Mus musculus: one gene and its partners. The protein of the gene in region 1 interacts with the protein of each later gene in a pairwise test. Links are inferred from orthologs where the notes say so. Each region holds a gene or a part of one and is shown in the gene's direction. Other genes may lie near its edges.

Evidence for each region.
Region 2: the proteins of Agtrap (region 1) and Senp2 interact in binary tests that used the Homo sapiens proteins (3 or more experiments, as listed by UniProt). The two-hybrid records come from large-scale screens. The link is inferred for Mus musculus from reciprocal best matches to the Homo sapiens genes AGTRAP and SENP2.
Region 3: the proteins of Agtrap (region 1) and Ap3m1 interact in binary tests that used the Homo sapiens proteins (3 or more experiments, as listed by UniProt). The two-hybrid records come from large-scale screens. The link is inferred for Mus musculus from reciprocal best matches to the Homo sapiens genes AGTRAP and AP3M1.
Region 4: the proteins of Agtrap (region 1) and Mief1 interact in binary tests that used the Homo sapiens proteins (3 or more experiments, as listed by UniProt). The two-hybrid records come from large-scale screens. The link is inferred for Mus musculus from reciprocal best matches to the Homo sapiens genes AGTRAP and MIEF1.
Region 5: the proteins of Agtrap (region 1) and Hscb interact in binary tests that used the Homo sapiens proteins (3 or more experiments, as listed by UniProt). The two-hybrid records come from large-scale screens. The link is inferred for Mus musculus from reciprocal best matches to the Homo sapiens genes AGTRAP and HSCB.
Region 6: the proteins of Agtrap (region 1) and Acsf2 interact in binary tests that used the Homo sapiens proteins (3 or more experiments, as listed by UniProt). The two-hybrid records come from large-scale screens. The link is inferred for Mus musculus from reciprocal best matches to the Homo sapiens genes AGTRAP and ACSF2.
Region 7: the proteins of Agtrap (region 1) and Bpifa2 interact in binary tests that used the Homo sapiens proteins (3 or more experiments, as listed by UniProt). The two-hybrid records come from large-scale screens. The link is inferred for Mus musculus from reciprocal best matches to the Homo sapiens genes AGTRAP and BPIFA2.

The regions. Positions count from the first base shown.
Region 1 is NC_000070.6:148,085,265-148,089,485, reverse strand, and holds the start of Agtrap (type-1 angiotensin II receptor-associated protein), read left to right. Parts: upstream 1-1,421; 5' UTR 1,422-1,542; coding exon 1,543-1,569; intron 1,570-4,221. UniProt on the Homo sapiens protein: Appears to be a negative regulator of type-1 angiotensin II receptor-mediated signaling by regulating receptor internalization as well as mechanism of receptor desensitization such as phosphorylation.
Region 2 is NC_000082.6:22,008,110-22,012,283, forward strand, and holds the start of Senp2 (sentrin-specific protease 2), read left to right. Parts: upstream 1-1,374; 5' UTR 1,375-1,532; coding exon 1,533-1,633; intron 1,634-1,655; exon of another isoform or gene 1,656-1,781; coding exon of another isoform or gene 1,782-1,855; intron 1,856-3,384; coding exon 3,385-3,443; exon of another isoform or gene 3,444-3,491; coding exon of another isoform or gene 3,492-3,510; intron 3,511-4,174. UniProt on the Homo sapiens protein: Protease that catalyzes two essential functions in the SUMO pathway.
Region 3 is NC_000080.6:21,035,443-21,038,942, reverse strand, and holds part of Ap3m1 (AP-3 complex subunit mu-1), read left to right. Parts: exon of another isoform or gene 1-16; intron 17-757; coding exon 758-965; intron 966-1,685; coding exon 1,686-1,830; intron 1,831-2,239; coding exon 2,240-2,340; 3' UTR 2,341-3,500. UniProt on the Homo sapiens protein: Part of the AP-3 complex, an adaptor-related complex which is not clathrin-associated. The complex is associated with the Golgi region as well as more peripheral structures.
Region 4 is NC_000081.6:80,232,760-80,236,879, forward strand, and holds the start of Mief1 (mitochondrial dynamics protein MID51), read left to right. Parts: upstream 1-1,320; 5' UTR 1,321-1,422; intron 1,423-1,674; exon of another isoform or gene 1,675-1,799; intron 1,800-1,922; exon of another isoform or gene 1,923-2,021; intron 2,022-3,045; 5' UTR 3,046-3,394; intron 3,395-4,120. UniProt on the Homo sapiens protein: Mitochondrial outer membrane protein which regulates mitochondrial fission/fusion dynamics.
Region 5 is NC_000071.6:110,833,278-110,836,777, reverse strand, and holds part of Hscb (iron-sulfur cluster co-chaperone protein HscB isoform 1 precursor), read left to right. Parts: intron 1-374; coding exon 375-471; intron 472-708; coding exon 709-798; coding exon of another isoform or gene 799-803; intron 804-1,978; coding exon 1,979-2,123; intron 2,124-3,500.
Region 6 is NC_000077.6:94,598,987-94,603,101, reverse strand, and holds the start of Acsf2 (medium-chain acyl-CoA ligase ACSF2, mitochondrial precursor), read left to right. Parts: upstream 1-1,315; 5' UTR 1,316-1,331; coding exon 1,332-1,459; intron 1,460-4,115. UniProt on the Homo sapiens protein: Acyl-CoA synthases catalyze the initial reaction in fatty acid metabolism, by forming a thioester with CoA. Has some preference toward medium-chain substrates. Plays a role in adipocyte differentiation.
Region 7 is NC_000068.7:154,006,819-154,011,075, forward strand, and holds the start of Bpifa2 (BPI fold-containing family A member 2 precursor), read left to right. Parts: upstream 1-1,457; 5' UTR 1,458-1,493; intron 1,494-2,294; 5' UTR 2,295-2,302; coding exon 2,303-2,423; intron 2,424-2,948; coding exon 2,949-3,090; intron 3,091-3,650; coding exon 3,651-3,758; intron 3,759-4,257. UniProt on the Homo sapiens protein: Has strong antibacterial activity against P.aeruginosa.

The DNA.
Region 1 (4,221 bases):
ACTTCTCTCATCTTCCCAGAAGAAAAGTCCTATCTGGGGATCTGTGACCTAGATGTCATCTTGTGTCCACTCAGGGGGTCTCATGGGTTCCCATATGGCTTCTATTCTTCTGGAGTCACACCCACCAGCCCAGGCTGGGCAGCTCCCGCCTCCTGAGAGCTCTCAGCATGTCTGAAGGCTCAGCAGGGGAGACTTCCTGTTAATTGTCCTGACTGAATGTCTTCCAACTTTTGCTATGTTGGGCAAGTGGACTCCAAGTGGCTGGCTCCTCATATATTGGTGGTACTAGAGCTTGTGTGCATCAGCCACTGACACCCGGCACAGCTCTGATCATTTGGAACTTTACCTAGGCTATGCTGGTACTGTAAACAGATGCTGGTAAACAGATGCTATAACACTGAGCCCTGACCCCCTCATTTTTGGACAAAGTCTCACTGTTGCCCAGGTTGGCTTTAAACTGCTGGGCTCTAGAGTCCTCCAGCCTCTCCTTCCCTTGTGGTGGGGGCTATTCAGCCATCAGCTGGAAAGCCCCTTTCTTGACTTCAGGTCCTGTCTCCCTTTCCTTACCCTGGCTTCAGAACCCAGGATGGAAGGAGAACCATCCACACTCTCGCCTCCCCACTCATGTTGTGGCATGCATCCACCCACCCCACTAAGTAGATCAATAAGACATAAACACGGTCTTACTTTATAAGCCAGGCAGGCTTTGATATCATTATATCTTTGCCTCGACTTCCCCTTCCTTCCTTTCTTTTTAATGTATTCTATGAAATTCTCTTGAAATCCAATAAGCTTGGAAGGAAAATTTAATACAGTAAGAACAGAGCTTCGATTTTTTTTTCAGATTTATTTATTTTTGTCTTGTGTATACGAATGTCTCACCTGCCTGTGTGTGTATATGCACTTGTGTCTGGAGCCTGCGGAGGACAAAAGAGGGTGGTTGTATCACAAGTACATGATTGTGAGCCGGCATGTGGGTTCTGGGAACCCAAGCCTAGAAAAAGTAGTAACATGTGCTCTTAATCACGGAATCCTCTCCAACCCTCACTTTTTATCTTTATGGACATGAATTCATTCACTGATCCTCACAAAGATGATGAGGTAGGCACTGTTCTAATTCTTGTGCAAGGGAAGTAAGAGAGGAGAGAGGATGTTCTGGGCAGACACCAACTGTTACCACACCCGCAGTTTCTGCCCGCTTGCCCCAGGCTCCTCTGGCTGTAGGTCGTCCCACCACCTCACCTCGATCCCACTTAGGCAGCCCGTTGAGCCCCTAGGCTGCAGAAATCCCGACCTCCTGGCTTGAAGCACAGGAGCTGGTAGAGGCCTAGGCAGTAGTAGTAGCAGGAGCCTGAGCCTAGCAGCAAGAGCAGCTGCCTGACGCCGTCTCCTAGCAACCGGCTGCAGTCACGTGGCCGCGCGAGTTGGCCTCCCGCCGTTGGAACTGGCGCAACGCGACGGGCGGGGCCAGGAAGTTTGTTCCCGAGTTCGGAGCCCAGGAGTCCCCGCGGCCGTCGCTCAGGTGCCCTCCGCCGGGTCGGGATGGAGCTGCCTGCCGTGAACTTGAAGGTGGCCGCGCGGCCGGGGCGGGCGGGGGTCCAGGAACCTGGGGAACGGAGTCGGAGCAGAAGGGAAGGTCCAGAGCCCCGGGGAGGAGGCGGCGGACACGGAGAGGGACACCTGGGGACAGAGACGGACAGGGCCGCCCCTCCCGGACAGACCCAGGCTGGCACGGGCACCGGACCGCCCGGGCCTGCGCTCCTGGTGTCCCCCACAGCAGGACAGGGACATCTATCCTTCTGAGAGGTCAGTGCAGTTCGGGGGGGGGGGTCTGTCTGAGTGCTGGCTCAAGTTAGGAGAAATCCGCTGTCCCCAAACAATTGCTTCTCCCTAATTTCCACATGCAGCGTCCTTATTTCATAATTAAGAAGCAGGAACTTAAGAGGTTTCCTAAAATCAAAAACCCCAGAGGCTACTTTGAGCTCCGGGCAGCGGGGCTGCGTAGGATGTCTTCATTTCCTAAGTTCTTTTTCTCTCTCAGCCCTCCTCATTTGCAACAGAGGTGCTGGCCACTTAGCTTCGGCCAGAACCGTGTGGACCTGGAAGTAAACCGGCCATCTTGGGCCTTTGGTGCCAGCTCCGTGAAACCCTAAGACTCCCAGGTGTTAAGCCATTTAGCACCCTTTGGTGTCTGAGAGGAAAGGGCCGGAAGATAGAGGTGCTTTGGAGCAGTTGTGTGATTTCATATGGGCTGGGCTGTGACTTGCTCTGGCCGGTTTCCCATTCCTAAACTGCTGGCTAGCAGCAGGAGGGAGATTGGAGCAAAGGAATGGGCTTGAGCGATCCATTATCTAGGGACAGAATTACAGGCAGGACTTGGAGGCAGTCTGGAGGTCAGGCTCTGCCTTATTCTGCTGGAATAATTACGAGGACAGCACAAGTCTCAATGGTAGAACATTTGAGTAGCCCACCCCAGGCCTGGGGTTCCATCCCAGGACCACACACTAACAAATAATAATAAAACGCAGGAACAGGTGAGAAAAATGTGATGTTTATGGGCTGATATGTTTTATTCATTTGAGTCAGGGTCTCGTGTACTAACTTACTGTGTAGCCTTGAACTTACTGTGTACCTGAGGATTGCCACAAACTTCTGATCCTCCTGCCTCCACCTCTCCAGTGCCAGGATTACACAGTAGTGGCGATGAAACCCAGGGCTTCCTGCAGGATAAGGAAACACTCCACCAACCGAGCCGTATCCCCAACCTGTGTTGCTTGTTTTTCTTAGTCTCCGTCCTCCGCTGAAAAAGCTGAAGCTGTACTCTGTCGTTTTTGTTTAGAGTTGGGGGACTTGCTATCTAGCTCTGGCTGGCCTGGAACTCACTATAGAAATCAGGCTGTCTTTGAATTGACAAGAGATCTGCTTGCTTTTGCCTCCTGAGTGCTAGGATTAAAGGTGTGCACCACCATACCTGACCTAGAGAAGCCGTGTTCTTTTATCGGGGTGCAAACTTCAGCTTAGATCATACGAGGAAATTGTCCGAGTCTCCCAAGAAATAAGTGGTACAGTCAGGATTCGAACCCCCAAAGACTCAGCTCCAGTGGTTTGCATTTCCTGGTATTGTTGCTTTGGGCTAACTTTGGTTTTGATGGCCTACATCGTCTTTTAGAACCTGATAGGTACAGTGTATCCATCACAAATGTAAGATAGCAGGCTTTCCAGCCCAGCATACAAACACTAGGCCCTCCACTGAGATCATGTGTGCTTTGCAGGCTTTGAAGGGCAGTGCCCAGGCTAGGGGTTGTGAAGTAACACCCAGTCACTTTTGGGCTTCGCATCAAGGACAAAGTCGTACCATGTGTCTCAGGATTGGGGACACACTGAATCATTCACAATCTGAAATTCAGAATGAGGCTGGGTGTTGTGTTATTTTGTCTGCAAGATCTGGTGTCCCTATGGGAGGCAGCTGGGACACCATTGGCTGCCCCTTTCAGTCCACCCTCTCTGTCTTTTAAAAAGACACCAGCTCTTCTCAGCACTTGGCCCAGGCTCTGTGAAAGAAGTCGGGTCCCTAACTGGGCTTCTTGCTTGTCTTAAGCAGGAGCTAAACTGAAGCAGCTCAGGTTGGACTAGACTTGTGAAGCCCTGGGAGGAGCAGTGGGGGGGGGGGGGCAGCGATGCGGCCTGCTGTGTTTGAGTGTTTGACACACTTCTACCACAGAGTCCCTGCTGCGCTGAAGAGCAGGTGGCCGTTGTATGTATGGAGACTTGCCCAAGTTTATGTGTTAAGATCTGTTCCATGGTCTGACTCCAAAGTCTGCCAGAGGACCTGCCTCTCCTCCTGGGTAGCCCTTGAATTTAGCTGTCCTGGGGGCATCCTACTGCCTTGTCTAATAGGCCGCCAAATGTTTGCACAGGACACACGGGGATGTTTTAAGTTGAGGTCTGGGACATCCCCAGCCCCTCCTCCTTTGGGAGTGGTAAACAAAGGCTTGTTTTGTTTTCCTGTGGTAGGGTACCACAGGCCAGGCAAGTTTTCTACCACGGAACCACAGTCCATAGCCCCAAACAAAGGTTAATTAATCCTCTTGGCCCCTAGACTTCTGCTGACCCACCCTTTTCTAAGTTAAACTTCCCTTCCCTCTGCCCTGCCTTTGACCTTGGAGATCCTGACAGTGGAGAGAATGCTGGCTTCGGGGCGAGGTTTTAAGGCCAGGCTCT
Region 2 (4,174 bases), on another chromosome or scaffold:
CCAGCAGTGACTGTTTTTGTTTTTGTTTTTTGGGTTTTTGTTTTTTGAGACAGGGTTTCTCTGTGTAGCCCTGACTGTCCTGGAACTCAGTCTGTAGACCAGGCTGGCCCTTGAACTCAGAAATCTGCCTGCCTCTGCCTCCCAAGTGCTGGGATTAAAGTCATGTGCCACCACCGCCCGGCTTTGAGACTGTTTTTAATACTTCAAGGGACTGCACTCCCAGACATTATGCTTAAGTCCATAGGAGATATTATTTAGACATTTATTTCTAATGGTTTTCCTTTAATCCCAGCACTCGGGAGGCAGAGGCAGGCAGATTTCTGAGTTCGAGGCCAGCCTGGTCTACAAAGTGAGTTCCAGGACAGTCAGGGCTATACAGAGAAACTCTGTCTCAAAAAACAACAACAACAACAACAACAAAACAACAAAAAGGAAGAAAGAAAGAAGAGAAGAGAAGAGAAGAGAAGAGAAGAGAAGAGAAGAGAAGAGAAGAAAAGAAAAGTGTATACATTCCCAGAGAGGATAATGAGAATTGATTGCTACCTGACAGCTGAGGGGAAGAGACAAGCTGATTAGAAAAGGCCACAGGAATCATTCAGTCCCTGTTTCTCGGAAGCTTTTCCTAAGAAGTCGTGTCCGTCTGCCCTACTCACTCCCCAGCATCTGGTTTAACTTTCTCTAGTTCCATTGCGCATTACAATCATTTATCACATAAGCAGGTGACCTTGTATTCTAATTTATAAGTATCTATGAAAATGTCTCTCCCAGTAAACTTGCACGTATGCGTGCGGAATGAGCCCTAATAGTTAGACTGGCTCAAATGCTAGTGGTTAGCTCCATTTTCTTAGGCACATGGTTTAATTGCTATATACCTTTGGTTTTTATGACATTCCTAAAATTCCCCACTGTGTCCGGTTGCTGTAAACATGACGGCAATCCGGGTAAAGTATTAGACCAATGTATATACAAAATAAAGCGCAAACCCTTACATACTCATTAACTAACCTGACCTATTTTCCACCCTGCGCATTCTTTTACAGAACCCTCCACTGTCGGGTTGCTTGGGTAGCTCTCCCGGCCCAGCATCGATACACGTGGTTTGGGTCTGTGGGCCTTGTCCCGAGATCGACTCCTGACTGGCTCTGCCAAAGAGAAAGCCCCGCCCTTCGGTCTGCCAGTCAGACCCGCGCAAGAGCCCGCTCTCCCCGTCCCGCTTCCTGTTGCTAGGCTTACAAGGAGCAGGCCCAGACTGCGCATGCTCAGACTCCGGAGGCCGCTTTCCCGTTGGGCGGAAGAAGGTGACGTCAACGGCTTCTAGAGAGTCCTCCCCTAGCCCGGGGAACGTTAAATCTGTGGGCCCTCTGATGGCGTCACAAGTCCGCGCCTGATCCTGGCTACGGCTGAAGCGGCGAAGGCGGCAGCGGCAGCGGCAGCGGCAGCGGCGACGGCGGCGGCGGCGGCGGCGGCGGCGGCGACAGCTCTGGGGTTCGCGTCTCGGGGTGTGTCGGCCGCCGCTGCTGCTCAGGCCTGGAATGTACAGATGGCTGGCTAAGGTTCTCGGCACCATTCTTCGCTTGTGTGAGCGGCCCGCGCCCGGGGCCCGCGCCCTACTCAAGAGGCGGCGCTCCAGCAGGTAAGGTGGCCGCGCGCCGGTCGGGTCCCCTCCCCCGCGCTGGCGTTGGGCGCCGCGGGCCTGTGGGAACCGGCGACTACGGGACCGCGGAGGCCTGGGGAGAGTCCGTCCCTCTAGCTGCGAGCGGAAGGGGAACGGGAGGCCGGCGATGTGCTGCTCGCCGGATACGGCTCCTGTCGCCCGGTGTCGTCGCGGGCGGACAGCGCAGGAGCGAGTCACTAGGTTAGGAGTTTGCCCGTAGTCGTTTGACTGCGAGTGCTGTTGTCTTCGCACCGAGGAACAGCAGTTGTCTTGTTCGACAGCAACTGTCGGGGTGTGTGTGTTGGGCTGCAGGGGAAGGGAATGGTCCTGTTCTTTAACATCCTTGTAAGAGGCAGAAAGTATTTACGTACCGCACTCTTGTAAGATTCGGTTAAAATTAGAAGGAAATGACAAATATTAGTACTTAGCATCTACTCCTTTATTTACTTTACAGTGTCTTCCCTTTTAAGGGTTTATCTAGAAAACAAAATATTCTACAACTTCTATACTCCCCCCTGTCTCCCACTCTTACATTCTCCCTCCCTTTCCTTCCTCTGCTATGTCTACTTCACTTATTATTATGATGATGGTGATTATTTTTGTTTCCAGGTCAAGAGAAGTGGACAAAAGATTGGATTAGGGGAAGTAGATCAAAATGATTCATAGATGACTCCAGGAATGTAGGTCATTGGTGAAACTGGTTGTTCGCTAAACTGTAGCATGTAGTCCCATGGCTTCTACAGTTCCATGGGGTTCAGATAAGAATCGGTTAAGATGTTATAAAGTTCTCAAACTGATGCTTATGTAAGAATAGTTTATTCTCCCCCAACTGGATCTGGTGCACAATGAAACTGCATATTTATCGAACAGGGACTGGTGATCGCCTCACATTTTCATTCATAGTCCCTCGGAGTCAGCAGTATGCCGACCCAAACCTGAGTGTGGATGTGTCCTGGCCAGCCTTGACTTCTAGCTGCTTTCTGTTCTTTACTACATTCGGGGGCTCGTGGGTTATTTTGTTTTGTTTTGTTCTTTTGTTTTTTGAGACAGGGTTTCTCTGTGCAGCCCTGGCTGTCCTGGAACTCACTCTGTAGACCAGGCTGGCCTCGAACTCAGAAATCGGCCTGCCTCTGCCTCCCGAGTGCTGGGATTAAAGGTGTGTGCCACCATGCCCGGCTCGGGGGCTGGTGTCTTAAAAGATACTTTTTTCTAGGAACTAGAGCTGTGCCTTAGGGGCGGTGTGCTTGTCTGTCGTGCCTGTCCTGTCTTCAATCCCCAGCCCAGGGTATAGGGGTCGGGAGACATTTAAGCAACACCATTGCCAACTCCCAACTACTACCTTATCTCTTAAGGCTGCTTATATTGTTGCTTGAAATTAAAAAAAAAAAAAAAGTCTGTCTTTAGGGCCAGTGTCCCAAAACCAAATGATGTGTTGGTTTAATTTGGCCAGATTATACATCATAATGTAGTAGGGAGTGTTGAGTCTTTCCTACGGTCTAGAAATAGGACTCTGCTTTGCACCTTGCATCTCATTTTACGACTACATGGGGCACAAGAGAAGGAAGGTTGTGTGGTACGGAGCTTTTGTTTTGGTGTTAGGTAAAGAGACCACGGTCTTTTATATGCTAAACACATGCCCTACAACTGAGTCACACCTCCAGAGCTGAGTAAGTTTATTTATAGAAATGCACGTATGGCCTATATACATCCATCTTCTCCTTTCTTTGCAGCACTCTGTTTTCTACTGCAGTGGACACTGATGAGATCCCAGCCAAAAGGCCAAGATTAGGTACTACATCTTTGAAAATTAATTTGTTTTAGTAGGAAAAATACATGCATGGAACAAAACTCAAAAGGTAAAAAGTCCAGACAATGAGAAGTTTCCTCTTTCCTGCCCTTTCTCTATGCCATTGTCTTTCCTAGAGGTGACTATTTTCAGATATGTGTGTTGAATGTGTGTTTATAGTTCTAAGGTCTTCTGTAGTAAAGGTAATTTTTTTTTTCCCCTGAGGAGGAAGCCAGTTCAAACTGATTGATCTGATTCATCTGGCTGAGTGAACCCATATGCTTTGTCATCACAAATCTACTTTCTTGTATGTGACTGGTAGACAAGAATAAAAGTAGATTAAAGAGCAAGGAATAGTAGAATACTATAGTATGTCCCTTATTTCAACAGCAGTCATGGATTTGGGTCTATACCAGATGTGATGGTTAACTATGGAAACTTGTTGATATTTCATTTAAATCCAATAAATACTTATTGACTATGTCTTGATTTTACACAATTACAGAAAATAAAAAATACTAGGCCTTTCTACAAGTATCTTTTAATTATCTAAGGAAAAAACAAGCTATTTTTAAAAAATAAATATGAATAAATAATGGTTTGTATGTGAATGTAGTAAGATACATAAAACGACATGACAAAACCAGCTGGTGATACCCAGGGCCTGGCTAACAGCCTGTGGCTTAACTACTGAGGATTTTGATGCAGGTGAGTTACAAGTTCAAAGCCTGTTT
Region 3 (3,500 bases), on another chromosome or scaffold:
GAAGTAGTAAGAGAGAGTAAGTTAAAAATCTATGATTAAGACCAAGCCTTTGGACTGTGCGTGACCTGGGCAAACCATGAACTCAGTGCCTTAGTCTGCTATGTCTGTAAACAAACAAGACAGGATACCCTAAAACATCCCCTAAACTACCTGCTTCAAGTCACTGTTCTCTACATTGAGTTTGGGAGGTTGAAGTGGTTCTTGTTTTTAAAACAGTGTCTTATTTGTTACCTCAAACTGTGGATCCTCCTGCCTCAGCTTTCTGGGTGCTAGGATCATTGATATGTGCCACCATATTCATCTTGCATTGAGCTTTAAACAGTTTACTGTTGTCAGCTGGGGCTGACGTGTCCCTTAAAATTCCAGAAAGCATTTGGGTGATTAGACAAAACTGAAACATTTTTCTGAGAAAATATTTCTTAGTGCTTTAAATTCTTTTAATGGGCTCTTCTCTTTCTTTCTTTCTTTCTTCCTTTTTTTTTTTTTTTTTTTTTTTAGCTGTATCCCTTTATCCGAGTTGTTTATGTGATATTTGGAGGAGATTTCTGTTTGGGCTTATGTATTTGTTACTAACCCATACATTTCTAGCACATTGGTACCAGAACATTGCTGTCCTCAACCCTAGTGCATAGGCCTAATCTGCTAGGGCATATGGTCCTGTGGCACAGTTACAGACCTCGTAGGACATACACTACATCTGGAGTTGTCCCATACCTTTCATAATGTACTTTTGTACCTTTTTGTGTCTTTTTTTTAGTCTAGTGGCAATACCAGTGTATGTGAAACACAGTATCAGCTTTAAGGAAAACAGCTCTTGTGGCCGGTTTGATATAACAATTGGACCGAAACAGAATATGGGAAAAACAATTGAAGGAATCACAGTGACTGTTCACATGCCCAAAGTTGTGCTGAATATGAACCTGACACCAACGCAAGGCAGCTATACATTTGATCCCGTGACCAAGGTACAGGCACTTCGAAACAAGAATGAGCAAGTGTTCTGCAATCTATTTTGTGGTTGTGGGTGGAGGTCACAGTACTTAGGAAGCAGGGTCCTTGCCTTGCTTAAACAAGACTCTAGCCAAGGGTTTTCAGAGTCCTAGAAAAGATGATTTTCTCTTCGCTCCCTTGCTTCCTTATGTAGGAAATGTAAGTTTTCAGCAGAATAGAGTACTTGATAAATGAGAAGGTGTTTTGGTTTGGTTTGGATTGTGTTTGAAATGGAGGAGCCGGGCGTGGTGGCGCACGCCTTTAATCCCAGCACTTGGGAGGCAGAGGCAGGTGGATTTCTGAGTTCGAGGCCACCCTGGTCTACAGAGTGAGTTCCAGGACAGCCAGGGCTACACAGAGAAACCCTGTCTTAAACGAAAAAACAAAAACAAAAAAACAAACAAAAAAAAAGCCTTTCTGGGACCCTTTAAGTGTGAGGTGTGAGCAGGCGAGTCCACATCCTCACCTTCCAGCTGAGCTGGAGTCATCCTTCTGTCTGTCTGTTACTCAGCCCCACACACATGATTCTGCTGTGGATTCTGTAACTGAACATTTAGTGATTAGAACATAAGCCAGTTGTGTAGTCCTGGCTTCTGTTTTCTAAGACACTGCTTCATTTTGTGTAGTGTATAGCATCTGTTGACCTCTGAGCATGTCTTTAACACAGCTCAGGTATTTTCTCTTGTGTTTTTAAGGTACTAGCATGGGATGTGGGCAAAATTACTCCACAAAAGCTCCCAAGTCTTAAAGGACTAGTAAATTTACAGTCAGGAGCACCCAAGCCAGAAGAGAACCCAAACCTCAACATACAGTTCAAGATCCAGCAGCTTGCTATTTCAGGTAACACGTGTTTGCTGGGCATTGAGGGGAGATTGGGGCTAGGAGTCTGGAAGAGTACTAACAGCTCTACCCTAGAAGGAACAGCAGCTCCAGACAGCAGCCATTTGAGAACACAACTTAACCTCATGCTCTTCTGTCACACATACCTCACCTCACCTTCATTTAAGAGCCAGAGAAGCCCTCATTTGTGTTCAAAGAAAGTGGAACTAGCTAGTTTTGTGAGCAGAGGCATCTTAACCAAGGCCATGCTCCTTAGAGTACAGCATGTGGGGGATAGAAAAGGGATGTTGTTTCCACATGATGAATGGAGCACTGTGCAGTGTCACATCTAAGGCACAGTGTTCATTGTTACACAAGTACTGCATTATTACTCTGGTAGTAATGATTCGTTTCATTCTTTTTGACACAGGCTTAAAAGTGAACCGCTTGGACATGTATGGTGAGAAGTATAAGCCATTTAAAGGAGTCAAATATGTCACAAAGGCTGGGAAGTTCCAAGTGAGGACATGAGAAGAGGCCAAACTTGCTCAAGATCAGTTTGTTTTTTCAAGTGTCATTGCAATTTATTACTATTAGGTACCAAGTGGGTGGGAATAATATACAGCATTTGTGTCAAGCTACCCTGCTAACAAAGTTGCTTAGTAATTGATGTAGGGTTCTTACGGAGCTTTAAGCTAAGGAAAGTTTTCTAAAGACTTAGCTTATTTTGTATCTTTTCACTTAGGAAAAGGTTTAGATGATTTCTTCCATGGGGGCTACCAGCTGAATGCTGCACATTCTAACAGTCAAAGCAGAAGGCTACAGTGATATCCTCTCTCCTAAAGCAAGCCAACTGGTCTCATCTACCAGCAGGAACTGTCTCAGTCTGTGATGTGTCAGGTGCAGCCAAGTGTCACACCTTCTGATCTTAGCCATCTCAGTGTCTGTCCCAAGAGAGGAGATTGCCCCACCCCAAGAAGTTTACAGAAAACTGCCTCTTCAAGTGTTTGCCTTACTCAGCTTTTCACTTGTGCCATTAAGCAAGCACTGTAGCAAAAGCCACTTCCACATGGCCCTGGCAGGGAGCACTACAGCTCCGTGCTCCATTCTCACTGTACTTGGTATTATATTTTTTATAAATAAGATTTTTATGTAAAGCTCAGATTTTGATTTACAAGGACCTTGCTGCAGTAAATATTCCATCAATCTTGTGCCACTAGTTCAGCTGTTAAGATAGCACAGTCAAATCATTTGCATCAAAAGGGCAAATACTTTATTAAGACAACGAAAGGGAACACTACTTCTGTTGTTAGCGAGTTACTGCAGGCACAGCTGTTTGTGCTTTTAAACAAATTAAAGTAGTAAAAGAGAAAATCAAGCAAAACCTTTGCCATTCTCATGTTTTATTAAAGCTTTATTTAATGCCACTAACCTAATTAGCTTGAAACCCTAGTTTAGCTAAAGAAGGAAATCATGAGTTTCACTATGTTGCTCTTTTCAATCTTTGTGTGTTTAAATAGTTGAATTTGCTTGTGTGCCCTTCATTTGGGGGAGCGCCTTTCCATACTACATATATCTCCAGGCCATTGTGATGACACCTTCTCCAAACTCCTATCAAATTCGAGTGAAGCACTTAAGTGTCTTTGCCGTACTGCGTACGTGGAAGAACCATTCACGGAAGGACAGAGTCC
Region 4 (4,120 bases), on another chromosome or scaffold:
ATCTCAGGGCTGGTAGTCTTGGTTCTATAAGAAAGCGGGCTGAGCAAGCCAGGGGAGGCAAGCTAGTACAGAACATCCCTCCATGGCCTCTGCATCAGCTCCTGCTCCCTGACCTGCTTGAGTTCCAGTCCTGACTTCCTTGGTGATGAACAGCAGTATGGAAGTGTAAGCCAAATAAACCCTTTCCTCCCCAACTTGCTTCTTGGTCATGATGTTTGTGCAGGAATAGAAACCCTGACTAAGACACAGTCCATCCATTCACCAGTGAAATGCCTACTGTACCTGAACCTGTGCCCTGGGTAAATGAATGTTCCCCTTGAGCTGCAATTCCTATAAGGTCCTGTTTCCTTATGATGTGAGTTGATAGTTATGTCCAGTCCTGTACCCAGTCCAGAGGATCCCAGATTGCCCATGCTCTGTGAAACCTGGCTGAACCCTGAGGTTTGCATCAGTGTCTCGGCTGGCTGGTCTCTGGTCTCCAAAACACCACAGATATGTGGGGGCTGGAAGACACTTTAATGTTTAGCCCCCATTATACTGGGAGCATGGGGCAGGAGTGGGGTGAGTGTGGGAAGGTTAGTGAATCTGGAAAAGGTAATCCTGACATCCGAGACTCTGTGTGTGAGTGGGTAATCCTAAGGTCTCCCCCAGAGGGTCTCCTTGTCCTTTACGAGTGGAAAACTCGTCTACTTAGGAGACTGTCCCGAGGGATAGGTTACCCGGTCTTCTAGCTGGAAATTTCACAAACTAGATTTATTTGGGTCACAAACTTCTTTCTTTAAAAAGCAAAGTAGGGCGGCCTAAAAGAATGGAAAGCCACACACTTTGGAGGAATACTGAGCTTGGACCCACTGTGAGCCTCTGCAGGGCTCAGCTTTCAGTGCAAATGACCCTGCCTCCCTCGGCCTCGATTTTCCCAAGTGTAACACTGGAATGCTGAAGTCTACCAAACAGAGAGGTTGGGTTGGACAAAATGCAGTGTGTCAAGTAATCAATTCAGTGTGGTCAGAGCCTCTCGCAGGCCAGACGTAGGCAGCAGGTGGAGGGCGACGACTTGCGGCTCCTCCCTTAAGCCACACCCAGCCAGCACTGAGTTTACACAGAGACTGCACAGTAACGCTTTCGGAGGAGGGGCCGTGGAGCTAGGTAACGTCACCTAGGAGGCGGGGCTGCGTCTGTGGGCGGGGCCCCACGACGGGCAGCGCTGGACTAAGTTCCGGGCTCCGCCTCCGGAGGGAGGCTACGGAGGGGCCGACCGGAAGTGCTTCCGCCTCCGCCCGCCTCCGCGCTCCCTGTCGCGTCTCCGTCGGCCCCGCGAGCGAGGTCGTGCCCCGGAAGTAGAGGGGCCATGTTGATGGGTGACCCGGAGAGAGGTACTGGGCGAGTGGCGAGTCCTGAGGAAAGGTAGCGCGTGGTCCGCGGGTGAGTGAGGGAGCGAATGAGGGCGGCCGGGGATCGCCCGTTTGAGCTCGGGCCAGTTTGGGGGCTACCGGCTCCCACCGGGGCCTCCAAGCTTCGCCCCGCCCCGCCTCAAGACCCGGTTGCCTCAAGCCACAGAGCCAGCCTGGCCCCGGGGTCTGCGTTCCCGTCCTCTGGGCGTTGTACCCCGATCGGAGCCCGTAGTCAGTCACTCAGCGACCTCGTTCCAGCCCCTGCGTGACGTTCTCCTTCCAGCCCTCCGTTGTTTTTCTGCATCTTTTGCATCCCGGAAGACCCTCAGGGCCAAAGGGGAGCTGTTCTGCAGTTGAGGAAAAAGGGACAGCGGTGGCTTGCCCCGGTTCGCGCTGGAAGTTAGCAAGGTCAGAGGCTACTGCTTCTGTCTTGGAGCCCAAAGTTCAGATCATTTTTTGTTTTTCATCCAGGAACTCCCTTCACCCCTGAAACACATACAGGCTCATACAACAACTGTTTCTTCCTCATAGGGTTATGGGGAGGATTCCTCCTTCCAGCCTAGTTTTGAGGTTGGTGAGCCCTGGGCCCTGTGCTGGCAAAGTTTGCTGAACGCCCTGAAGTGCACACATGTAAGACACCCCCCCCCCCCGCCCCCACCTCATTCCAGCGAGTTAGGGTCTGGATTGTTTTGGTGAGTGGGCAAATCACTTCCTTTTGGGAATGATGTCACATACTTGGCACACATCTTTCATCTCAGCTCTCAGGAGGCAGAGACAGGAGGATTTCAGAGTTTGAGGGCAGCCTGCTTTACAGAGTGAGTTCTAGGACAGCCAGAGCTCCGTAGAGAGGCCCTGCATCAGGAAACCAAATTAAACAAAAGCAAAAGAAAGCAAAAACAGAAAGAATAAAAAGAAAGAAAGAAAGAAAGAAAGAAGAGATAGAGTGATGTCTCTGTGGTTAAGAGCACTGGCTGCTTTTCAGAGGACCCAGGCTCAATTTCCAGCACTTCTGTGGTGGCTCACAACTGTATATATTATAACTCCAGTCTAAGGATATGACAGTGTTACACTCTCAAGGCAAACTGGCATGTAGACAAACATGCAGGCAAATACCCATACAGAAAAAAGTAAAAAAGTAATTAAAACAATAAGGCCAATCAGCGTGATGCTGCTTATATGGTGGTACCAGGATCCAGATATAAATCCTGGTCTTTAACTACTCTAGGCCACACTGTCTGGTAGAGTCCCATTACAGGGGCTTTTTAGGAGCAGTTCTCAAAATAACCTTGTGTAGTAAGTACTCTCATGATGTCTTTGTTATCTCTGTTTTACAATGAGGAAGCTGATGCCCACTGTACTTTATGCTAAGTGCCCGGGCAGTGGGATGGCACAGCCAGGACTCAAACTCTACTTCTTGAACCCTGGTGAGCCTTAAACTGAACTTCTCCAGGAGGGGCTGTTTACAGGGAGGAAGCTGATCCCAGCTTTGCCATGAGTCCTTGGAAGTCTCTGAGTCTGGCATTAAGAACCCCTGCCATCCCTCCCTCCCCCCAACTCAGACACACACACACACACACACACACACACACACACAGTGTCTAGCAGGCCCTGCTGTCATCAGTTCTGACTCTAGCCTTCTGTGTCTTCTCTGTAGAGTGTGACGATTAGTACACGTCGGTCCCCCATGGCCCCTTGGAGCCGAGAGGCAGTGCTGTGTCTGTACCGGGCTCTGCTGCGCCAAGGCCGAGAGCTTCGCTACACTGATCGAGACTTCTACTTTGCTTCCATCCGCCGAGAATTCAGGAAAAATCAGAAGCTTGAGAATCTGGAGGCTCGAGAGAAGCAGCTGGAGAAGGGCCTGGTCTTCCTCCATAGCAAACTAGGAGGCCTTATCTAGGATCCTCTTTTCCCCTCCTACCCCAGTCCCAAGACGAAGACAAAGGTGCCTTCAGAGACACTCCCGGCTCCCCACCCCACCTCACAGATGCATTAGGAAGCCTCAGGTAGGTAGCTCAATCCTTGGTCTTAGAGGTTTCTTCTTTCTGGGCAAGAAGCTAGGAAAAGGAAGACCTTTGCCATCAGAGTATGTTCTTTACTCCCTAAAACTCACTAGATAAAGTATAGGCTGCACAGAGAAACCCTGTCTCAAAAAACCAACACACACACACACACACACACACACACACCAATAGATGTGGGTCCTTAACTGGATTACAAACCCCACCAGAAAAGAGTGGGCATCGTTTTATGTCATAGAGTACTATATATATGCGAATATTAGAAACGAGTGGCTAAAGTCATCAGAGTTCAGTTCCAAGTCAGCTTGTCTGCTCAGTTAGACTGCATCACACACACCGTGTTTGCTGAAACACAAGCTTATCATTATTGCATAGTTGGTATAACAATCATATTTAGTGCCTGCCTTCAAATCCTGCACTGTTAACTAGTAGCTGTGGGATACGGGCGACTCTCTAAACCTTGATTACCTGTGAAGTAGAAGTAGTAGTCCTTAACCTGGGTTCGGTGAGACCATTACAGATAGCACTGAAAGTGGCATGCTGCAGATGGGTCGTTTGCGAGCCCCACCAGAACAGAACTGGTATTTTATTTCACAGACTCTCATATATTTGAGAATATTAAATATGAGTGGTTGTGTTCTTGTGCCCTTTCGTAAAGTTGCATTTGTTTATTGGGGTGTGGGTGTATATGCCTTAGCATGCATGGGGAGG
Region 5 (3,500 bases), on another chromosome or scaffold:
TATAAAAAATAAAAAGAGGCCTGGCAGTAGGGAGTGGCTTGACACTAAAGTTCTTGCCCAACCTATAGAGACCCTCAGTCACCAAGAGTTTACCATGCATTACACTAACCTCCCTTAATGCGTCAAGCTATCGACCTTCCAGCCAGGTCAGTGTCGTCTCTCCGCTCATGTCCCTTTCTGATCTTCGCTCCTTTGGGTCTCCTCTCTGATGTCATACCTATACCACCTCTTCCGAACCTGTTCTGTTTCCCTTCATTGCAGCTACCAGGTCTTAAAAATAACCTTTGTTTACGCGTTTATTGCATCCTCCCCGAGAGCAGAACCAGACTGTAGTAAATGGCTGGAACTATGAATGATATCTGGTTTTCTTCCAGCAACCGCTCCTTCAGGGTGGACGTTACGAAACTTCAGCACAGGTACCAGCAACTGCAGCGGCTTGTCCACCCAGATTTCTTCAGCCAAAAGTCTCAGGTATTTACTGACCCTCCCCCCAATAGTCCCCATGTATGGGCACAACTGGGTGGGTAGCTCTGTTGCTCTGGGAAAGAGTTGGGCTGCTAGCTCCACCCTGTGGCAGCCTGCCCCTAGACAGCCAGGCCCCAGAGCTGTCATTTCCTCCCAGCTTTTATCTGGCTTCCCAGATAACGGAACACACGCCAGCTTGACCAGCTCTTGTAATGATAAAACTGTTTTTACTTCTGTGAACAGACTGAAAAACACTTCTCTGACAAGCACTCCACCCTGGTGAATGATGCCTATAAGACTCTTCAGGCTCCCCTGACCAGAGGACTATATCTTGTAAGGTGATTTCCCAACCCATCTGTCTGGGACTCCTCTGTATGAGACCTAGCCTGGTCCAGGAAGCAAATGATGGGAAAAGGAAAGGAAAGAAAGAAAAAAAATTTTAAATTTTTATGCAAGAATAATCAGTGTTCTTTGTAAATCCATCTTGTTTGTTTGTATTTTCCTTTGAAAGAAAACATCACTGGTTGTAGCCCAGGCTGGCTCCAGGTTATTAATTCTCTTGCTTCACCACACCCACATCCAGCTCGTTCCTAATTTTTCTTTTCCTTCAGTACTGGGTATTGAACCTAGTGCCTTGTGCTAAGGAAGCACTCTGAACTGAGCTATGGCCCCTGCTTGATGATTACTGGATTTTCTTTCATTTGCTTGCTTCCATTTGTTTGCTTGTTCGCTTTGATGGTACTAGGTTTTGAATCCACTCAACTATATCCCCAGCTGCCTTGTTACTTTTTGAACCAGTCTCACTCAGCTGCCCAGGCTGGAATTGACATGTGATCTTCCTGCCTCAGCCTCCTGAGTAACTTGGGATGCAGCCCCACACCAAGCCAGACCTGGATCCTTTTGCATATCCTAATGTCACCCCTGATTGTAGTGCTTTAACTATTGCTTTAACTATTTTCAATGAATTTGATAAGAGTACTTGGGCTGGGCATAGTGGCGCCTGCCTTTAATCCCAGCACTTGGGAGGCAGAGGCAGGCAGATTTCTGAGTTCGAGGCCAGCCACGGCTATACAGAGAAACCCTGTCTCGGAAAAAAAAAAAAAAAAAAAAAAAAAAAAAAGGAAAGAAAAGAAAAAGAAAAACTAAAAAAAAGGAAAAAAGAAAAAAAGAGTACTTGGGAGTCTTTTTGTAAGGACATCTAGGCGATTTTAGAACTGGAGGGAAAGTTTATAAAGACTCACTTAACATCTGAGATGTGTGAGGTACCAACCATCGCTTTGATGGTACATTCAGCAGAGTGAGGTCCTATACCAGCACTCACTGTTACTAGGACAGCTCAAGTTTCTGAAGGGACACAGTGCTTATTTAGCATGTACTAGGCTCTGGGCTCCATTTCACCTGACACTCAAGGCTTCCCCCAGGAGTGCCGTGTACTCTGAAGGAGTGAGCAGTATTTACTTAACACTGAATGTTTCCTAACCAAACTCCTTTTCTTTGTGCTCCTCCCCAATAGCTAAAGCTCCAGGGAATAGAAATTCCTGAAGGGACAGATTACAAAGCAGACAGTCAGTTCCTTGTGGAAATCATGGAAATCAATGAAAGACTCGCAGACGCCCAAAGTGAGGCCGCCATGGAAGAGATAGAAGCCACTGTCAGAGGTAAAGGGAAAAATGATAATAAATATGCTTAATTTCCCCAAGGAGGACACGGCCACATTAGAGGGGAAATGAGAAGGAAAACACTTGCTGGGGGGGTAAAGAGATGGCTCAGCGGTTAAGAACTCTTCCAGAGGTCCTGAGTTCAATTCCCAGCAACTACAGGGTAACTCAGAACCATCTGTAATGGGATCCGATGCTCTCTTCTGGTGTGTCTGAACAGAGTAACAGTGTACTCATAAACATAAAATAAATAAGTCTTTAAAAAAAAAAAAGGAAGGAAGGAAGAAAATCACTTCTTGGCCTTAATTGTCATGCAAGAACTGACTTTGGAAGATAGCTTTAAGCAAGAGTGTAATCAACCAGGACAGCCAAGGCTATACAGAGAAACCCTGTCTCGGAAAAAACAAAATAAAAAAAAATAATGTAATCATACTCCAAGTATTGCAACAGTTGCTTCTATCTAGCATGCTATTTACATGCTGTCGTTATTTCTGGGGATGAAAATGACCCCGCTAGTTGGTAGAAGTTAGTAAAAATGCCCCAGGATCACACAGATCTGCAGCAGAGCAATCGCCTAAACCCTGACCTTCTGACCCAGCCTGTTCAGTTTCCATTTCATTCCATGGTGTATCAGTCAAGGGTCACTAGAAAGCCTGCAGGGGATATAGGTCTAGTTAGTTATTTCACAGAACTGGCCCAAAGGTGGAGACTGACACACAGAGCTGCTACAGGGCAAGGCCTGGGGTCATAAGGTGTTTGTGTACATGTGTGCGTGGTGCACAACCAGGAGAACTTGAGTTCAATCCCCACAATTCCACATGCTGTCTCTGACTTCCACACAGCTGCTGGGGCACACACAACACACAAACACCCACACACACCCAACCAAGTACTCTCTCACTCTAAGTAATTAATGTCATTTTAAAAATAAAATAAAAGTTGGGTGTTGCCTGAGGAGTAACACACAAATGACTTCTGACCTACACAATACTTGCATACACACACACACACACACACACACACACACACACACACACACACACATTGTAGAACAGAACAGTGGGCCAAAAGCTTAGGTTGGATTGGTTTGTTTGTTTTTTTGGGGTTTTTTGGGTTTTTTTGGTTTTTTTGACAGGGTTTCTCTGTGTAGCCCTGGCTGTCCTGGAACTTGCTCTGTAGACCAGGCTAGCTTGAAACTCAGGCATCCACCCGTCTCTGTCTCCTGGTTGTTGAAATTAAAGGTATGTACCATCTCCACCCACTTAGGTTGGATTTTTATATCACAGTCTTAAATATTTTTCTTCTGTTAGGAATCTAAATCTAGCCGGGTGTGGTGGTGCACACCTTTAATACCAACACTTGGGAGGCAGAGGCAGG
Region 6 (4,115 bases), on another chromosome or scaffold:
GCACCCTTCACTCCCTGGGCCTGGCTGTCTGAAACCACTGTATACATTTGATTTGGAGGGCATCATGCCGTTTCAAGCCCAGCTTTTCAAAGTCTCTCCTCTTGACTTGTTCTCCAACGGAACACAGATTCTTTCCAAAAAGCTGTCAGAGGGAGAGGGAGAGGGAGAGAAAGAGAGAGATATCTGGTCACTCTGGAGATCAGAGAAGGAGTAGCTGTATTAGTCATGACCCCAGCTGAACCAGATCAAGGCAAAGGTTCACCAGGCTAACCTCCACCCTCCGCCAACTGTTCCTCTGCCTGGCTTTCTTCATTCCAAGTCAGGAGAAGGGAAGCCACCCGGCCGGGGGCCTTTCTTCTCTTCTTTCCCAGATCGTTCAGGACAACGAGGAGCTAGAAAGTGGAGGACTAGTGTACTCATCTTTGGACACCCAGCGCACAGCCTGAGCACTCACCTCTTGTAGATCTTGTCACCCATCCTCCTTGGATGACGTTAGAATACATTCCTAAGGGCACAGCTAGAGGGTTGAGTCACAAAGTCAGGGTCCTTTGGAGCCTAGGGGAGCAGCTGAGGAAATTGTGTTTAAGGCTTCAGGCTAGAGCAGAAAGAGGGAAGGTAGGATACAACAGACGCGTCCCTGATGCCACCTAATCTTGTCTACCTGGTACTCTTCTCAGAGTCGTGGGGAGGATGCAAGGTCGAAGTAAAGCTGACTCTTAGCCTCTGGCCAGACTAGCACCTTGGTCCCCGGAGGTCTCCGAATACAGAGGGGTTTACCCATCAGAGCGGTAGGTCCCAACTACCTTTCCTCTCCCCAGAGGCCCTCTGCTCCAGTTGGCAGGCCTCAGGGGCACTCGGGGCAGATTCCTTTGGCCTGTAGCTCAGCACCCAGGAAGTCCCCACGTGACCCAAGCCCTACTGGGCACGTGGGACCAACCAGTCCAGGCATTGTCATCTGGCTCTATATAGACTGTTGATTGTTTTCCCGTTTATGAAACTCTTAGGCCCTCCAAAGTTAGAGTGATGATTGCAGGAAGGCCCTGTATTGTGCTGCAGAGCCGGTCTTGGGAGCCCCGGGAGGGGGAGGGGGGACAAGGGCGGGACTTCGAGGGCGGGCTTGAAGGGCTGCAGTTCCCACGCAAAGGTGGCCAGGACCGAGTCGCCACTTCCCGGCCTCTCCTCGCCCCGCCCCGCCCCGCCCCGCGGGGACCCAGTCCTCCTCACCCCATAGGCAGAGCGACCCTCCCGCCTCCCCGTCCGCTTCTTAATTACCCTCGCCTCGTTCACTTTCAAAGTTTACTCCCGGCCCGGACCCGCGGCGGAAGCGAGCCATGGCTGTCTATCACGGGATGCTGCGCTTCGGGAGGCTGTGTATCGCGAGCCTGGGGGCGCGGGGCCCCCGGACGCTGCTCTCTCGCCCTCGGCCGAACTCGAAGTTGCAGAGTGTCCGCGCTCTCAGGTACCCCGAGCAGCATTCCGAAAAGAGAGGGGGCTGGGCAGTCCCGAGAAGGGAACTTGGGAGTTCTGCAGTGCTTGGCAGGGGCTGACCCCACTCTGGGTAGCCCTCACACACACTACCCTACCACCTAGGCAAAGGGAAAAGCCAGGCCTGCCCGGGATCTGGGGCTGCTGCTCATAGCCACAGGAGTCCCAGGCTGAGTTCAAATTCTAGTTCAGAATTCTGTATGCGTCCCATGTGGTACACAGAGCCAGGAGTGGAGGCTTTTTAACAGTACACCCGAGGAATAGAGCTGAATACTGCTAGGGCATTCTCTCAGCTGTATTAACTCCCGTGAAAAATGTGGGGACCGTTTGGGGGTCCACAGGGCACTGAGTATAACAGATCTTTCCTTCCTTTGTTTTCTTTTCCTTCCTTCTTTTCCTCCACCACCTCCTCTACTTTTTGGAGCAGGGTTCTCTCTGTAGCTGTGGTTGTCCTGAAACTCGCTCTGTACACCAGGCTAGCCTTGAAATCACAGAGATCTGCCTGACTCTGCCTTCTGAGTGCAGAGACTAAAGACCTGTACCACCACTGCCCGGCTTCCTTCCTCCTTTCAGTCATTACCACTTCTGGGCCCATTTTTTCATCTGTCTTCAGTGCAAGATCTGGGAAAGGGGTTGGCAGGAGAGAGTTGGCTGAATAAATCTAATATGACCAGACACGGAGGGGACTGCAGGAGCTTGCTGGGGAAAGGCCAAGCTGGGAGAGTTGGCTGTGCAACAAGGTGAATGGTGGTATCCTCTGCGTCCAGTAGGTATGCACATCGCCTATCCTGCTCTACCGCACGGAAGGGCAAACTACTAAGCCTGTTGTCCGTATTATTGTGCAGGCTGTGGTCTTGGAAAGGAATAGTGGAGGCACGGCAGAAAGAGGAATATGTCTCAGAAAACACTACTAAGTTTAAAAGACACTACTAAGGCCGATGAGAGTAGTGGTGTGTACCTTTAAGGCAGAGCCAGGGTTTCTGAGTTCAAGGCCAGCTTGGCCTATGAAGTAAATTCCAGGACAGTTGGGGCTAAACAGATAAACCCTGTGCACCCAATCAAAAGACAGCCCCCCTGAGAAGAAGTTGGACGGACAAGTTGGAAGATGTCTTTTTGGCTGGAACTCTCAGGTTCTGAGAGCTAAGTGCCTTCTGAGAATTAAGAAACAAACTGGTGTGTGTGTGTGTGTGTGTGTGTGTGTGTGTGTGTGTGTGTGTGTATGTATGTATGTATGTGAATTAGCACTCTAACACTGATGTTAGTACATGTTCAGCTCCTGTGAAGTGCTTTAACATCCCTCTGCCTTCTTTCCTGAGGAGACCTAGGGGCTCATGGCTCCATGCACATGTGATTTTTGTTTTTGTTTTTCCTTCCTTCCTTCCTTCCTTCCTTCCTTCCTTCCTTCCTTTCTTTCTTTCTTTCCTTCTTTCTTTCTTTTCTTTCTTTCTTTTGGGGGAGGTTTTTTCGAGACAGAGTTTCTCTGTGTAGCCCTGGCTGTCCTGGAACTCACTCTGTAGACCAGGCTGGCCTTGAACTCAGAAATCCACCTTCCTCTGCCTCCCAAGTGCTGGGATTAAAGGCGTGCGCCACCACGCCCGGCTGTTTGTTTTTTAATATGAGTACACTGCAGCTGTCTTCAGACACACACCAAAAGAGTGCATCGGATCCCATTATAGGTGGTTGTGAGCCACCATATGGTTGCTGGGATTTGAACTCAGGACCTCTGGCAGAGCTGTCGGTGCTCTTAACCGCTGAGCCATCTCTCCAGCCCTCACTTGTGTTTTAAGTGCAGGTGAAGGCAACTGATAAATGTGTTTTCCTTTATCTCTCTCTACCTTACCATTTTGAGGTAGGGTACTGAGCCTGGGACCCATTGATTCTGCTAGGATGGCTAGCCAGTGAGTTCTAGGGATTTTTTCTTCTCTGTCCCCCAGCCCCTAGCACTGAGAAGTTACAGGTGGCTGAGCCATGGTGCCAAGCTTTTGTGTGAAAGTTGGGGATCCAGCTGGGTGTGGTGGCGCATGCCTTTAATCCCAGCACTCGGGAGGCAGAGGCAGGCAGATTTCTGAGTTCGAGGCCAGCCTGGTCTACAAAGTGAGTTCCAGGACAGCCAGGACTACACAGAGAAATCCTGTCTCGAAAAAAAAAAAAAAAAAAAAAAAAGAAAAGAAAAGAAAGAAAGAAAGAAAAGAAAAAGAAAAGAAAGTTGGGGATCCGAACTCAGTTCCTTCTGACTGTACCGCAGTCGCTTTACTGATTGAGCCACTACCCTAACCCCAACATTTGTGATCTTTGGCATTTTTCTGTGTAAACAAAGCAGGTCACTTACTGCCCTCAGGCCTGTGATCTCTGAGGGCTTCAGTGTCAGGCCTCAGAGAAACTATGTCCAGAAGAGACCTATTTATCAAGAGAGAGAGAGAGAAGGAGAGAAATATTTTCTGAGTATCTGGCCCAACTTCTTTCCATTCCTCTCATATTTGCATCCTTCCTGGCTGGCTTTCATCCTTCCAAACGAAGTATCCGGTTTGTCCCCTACTCTCCCCTGCAGAAGCCTCCATCTTAGGTTTCTCAAATATTCAGCACAGGTCTCTGAGGGCATTGACCTAGCCCTCAGAGGTCAAGCACCTAGG
Region 7 (4,257 bases), on another chromosome or scaffold:
TGTGAGCTGGAGGTCACTCGTGAGACACACAGTCCTGCTGCTTCTGTTCCCAATATCCTGAGGAGACGACACATCTACTTTGTTCAGAGGCCACAGTCTAGTTGACCTGAGAGTTACCAGTTTCTTATTTGTGTGTGTGTGTGTGTGTGTGTGTGTGTGTGTGTGTGTTGTTCGTGTGTGAGTGCAGGTGCACATATGATAGCGTACACGTTGAGGTCAGAGGATAACTATCAGGCGTTGTCCCCTCCTACTTTTCCTCGGACTCTGGAGAACAAACATGGGTCCTTATTCCAGGGGAGCAAGTGCCTGTTGGCTGACACATCTTGCTCACATACATTTTACCTAGACAATGGAGCCTCCATCAGAGTATTACTTTAGCTCCTCACCGATGGCAATGCACCACCTCTCTACCCACATAGGAGTTGGGTCTCCACACACCCCCACACCCCCTTCACCAAAACGTTTTCAGTTACTTTATCTGGTAAAGTTCATCAGAGAATGAAGCCAGTATTAAGAACATGGAATCATTTGGGAACCTGGATCTAGCAATACCCCACCCTAGATGGAGTTGCTGAGTTTTCACCTCAGATTATAATTCCCCCCTAGCTTCTATGGTTTATTCTGAAACCAGGGGAACTCGATTCCTCCCTTTGGACCACAGACATCCTGGCTTGTGAATTCACATGTCATCTACTGCTAATCCATTGGTAGTATGTGGCTCACAGAGACACACTACAGTCATGGCCAATGTCAAGGTAGGACAGATGTGAATCATTCCCCCAGTCCTGCTGTTTTCATGACTAACCCTCCTCAGCACAGTGACCATGAACCTACTTTTCCCCTCCTTTTATTTTTAGAATTGCTGGAATTTTCTATTTTGAGAAATAATAGCCTTGGGGCAGCATTAAACAAAATCATCTAGAAAGCTGGTTTAAAATACAGATGGTTGAGTCAGTGAAAGAGTGAGGAATGTCATTATTGGCCCCTCACAGAGGCTGGCTCACTCCAGCAGAGGTGGTTGAAGCTCTTGGACACGGGTCAGGTGCATAGGAAGGGTGGTCTGGGACACCTGAGAACCACAATTGAACAAACAGAAGCTGCTGGCTTTTTTTTTTTTAAATGAGTTCTCAAAAAATGACTGGGCTAGCTTAGGCAAATACTTCGAGCCAACCCAACAGAACATTCTTCCATTGATTCATTCTGGATCTTCTTTCTAGACAATACTGAACTGACCCCTTGTTGGCAGTCTCAAGTTTGACAACATAGGGCTTTGAACTTGGCACAAGGTCCATCACTGTCACCCAAGCATCCTGGGTGACCTTTGGGTTGGAATATCTTGGCTAACCTTAGATATTTTCTTTGGAGTATCTTTAGAACATCCAGGAAATAGGGCTTGATTCTCATCCTGGGACCACAATATAAGTCACCCTAGAATCCCAGGAGATCGTGCAGAGAAACAAGGATCTCTCTCGTGTGCATCCTTCTTCAAAGCAGTGAGTAGTGACTCCACTAAACTGAGTTCCCATCTGAGAGTCCACAGGAGGCTTTGGGGCAAGAAGCAGAGGGAAGGCACTGTTTGTGTTGGTAAAGTTTTGACTCTAACAAATTTGAAGACATAGATGACATTGTGTCAGACTAACAACAACCTAGACTCATGTGGGTTCTGTTTAGGGATCAGATTTTATTCATCAATGACTTGTCTTAGTGTATAGAGAAAGGCTTCCTACTGGAGTGTAGGCTCAATAATGACAGAAGAGATAGCTATTTCCCCTAGGGACTGTGCTGCTCCAAGTTTGGTGGAGAAAGGCAGTGGGGAACCTAGATGTGCTCTCTGGGGAGGGGGTCTGAAGCTGGCTTCATAGAAGGTGTGAAGTTTTGCTGAAACATCTAAACAGAATTATAGCTTAGGAAAGTGAGCAGGCAAGGCAGGGAATGTGTTGCATATGTATATGTACATGAATATATTATGTTATAGATACACACACATTTGAACCTCATTTGCAGATGACAGAAAATAGGTTATTTTGCCTCTCTTAACTGCTAAGCACAATGACTTCCAGTTCCATCCATTTCCTGAAATGCCACAATTTCATTTTTCATTGTGGCTGAATAAAATTCCATTGCAGACTGGGCCCTACTTCATCCACTCCTGAGGGCAGGCATATCCCCTGGCTCCATTTCTTACCTATTGTGAAGAGAAGTGCAACTGTCTTGTTGAAAGGCAAGCGTGAGAGAGGCAGGCACTAATTGTGGGTTTTTGTTTCTTCTTCCTGCTATGACTCTCCATTTGTCAGAACCAAAGATGTTCCAACTTGGGAGCCTTGTTGTCTTGTGTGGCCTGCTCATTGGGAACTCAGAGTCACTTCTTGGTGAACTTGGCAGCGCTGTGAATAATTTGAAAATTCTGAATCCTCCCTCTGAAGGTGAGTTAATATAGGTTCCTTCAGCTATCTGGTCCCAGGAGAAACTCTAATAAGTATCATGCCTGCAATTGCAGAGGCTGCTGGGAGAGGGTGGTGTTGTCTTTTGTGGGTGGTACACTGAGAAATGTGCTGCTATTCAACTCCTGCGTTGCCCCTATCTGTTTAGAAAAAAAAAAAAAAACAGTGCTGGGATGTTACCCTAAGAGACTTGCCAATATATATTGGCACAGGATAAATTCTTAAAAGTGAGATTCCAAAAATTTAAAAGGTTTGCATTTTAAATTATAGTAGCTGTTGACAAGAAGTCCCCTATCCCAGTGCATGGATCCAGCTGTGTAGACACTTTTCCTAACCTTAGGAGGCTCAGGTTCCTCATCTATACAAAGGAGACTGGCAATCCTGTCCTGACTGGGTTGTTGCAGGGACTGATGACACAGCACAGGGAAACTGACTTCTCTGAAACCAGGAGGATGGAAGCCCACTCCCTAGTGGTACAGGACACTGACTGATGACTGTTTTTGACAGCTGTCCCTCAGAACCTGAATCTGGATGTGGAGTTGCTTCAGCAAGCCACAAGTTGGCCATTAGCCAAGAACAGCATTCTAGAAACGTTGAACACAGCGGACCTTGGCAATTTAAAAAGCTTTACATCTTTGAATGGTTTATTGTGAGTTGATGTTCTTTGCTTCTGGGGAAGGGACTATCTGACTACTCAATATCAACAATAGATGGATAAGCCTCTTATTCCCCCACAGAGCTGAGGAGTTCTGAGGCAAGGTTCATTAGAAGTCGAGTATGTCTGAGGCAGGGCTACAGGGCCAGTGTAGACAGTTCATACCTCCGGGTTTCCACAGTCAGTGACTTAAGGCTCAAGTTGAACATTCCATTGATCTCATCTCCACATGAATCTTGGTACCTAAAGGCATTCTCATGAAAACACATTTCTTTTTCAAATATAGTAAAAATCTAAGTTTCTTCAAGGGACAGCTAGCTAGAATTCATAGCCTCCAGTCCCAAGCACTGGCTTTACGGAGGTCTGAGTCACATAGTCCTGGATTCAGGTTCTGTCTCTGCTGCCTATAGTTTCCCTCGCTGAGTGCACTGTGCCTGAGAGTGTGGAGTCTCACGCTTCTGCACAGGATGTAGGAGGGACAGGAGGGTGATGACAAGAGGTGCAAATGCTGCAAAGACGCAGGACAAGAAGGCATGTGTGTGTGTTTTGGGCAGGTTGAAAATCAATAATCTCAAAGTCCTGGATTTTCAAGCTAAGCTGTCTTCCAACGGCAATGGCATTGATCTGACGGTGCCCTTGGCTGGGGAAGCCTCCTTGGTTCTGTGAGTATATGTCACTTGGATTTTGAGGGTACAGTGCAATATGGCCAATTTGAGTAGGCATTTAATTTCCAGCTACGATGTGACTTCTGGCTCTAGTTTCCTAATCTATAAAAGAGGAGACCCTCTGAGGCCTAAAATTCCAACCTTTAATGAAGATTGACATGTTAATCTCTAAGAATTTATATTTTTCTAGATCTCTCATTTAGAGATATCTAGAGATGTGGGGGGATCCTTCAGAGAGAACACTTGCCTAGTATATGTGTGACCCTGGCCTCAAATAGTCACCACTGGGGGCTCAGGAATGTTTATATTTCATGCATTTATAAAGGCATGAGCTGTAAGATCCTGGGGGGGTACATACACTTAACCTCTGTATGCCCAGGATCTTTCACTTAAAAAAAAGGAGTATGATTCTTTTCTAGTACTGTTTATAAGTGTACAATGTTTATAAGTGAATGTCCACAGGTAGTTTATGTTATGTTACAATTATGTTACAAAA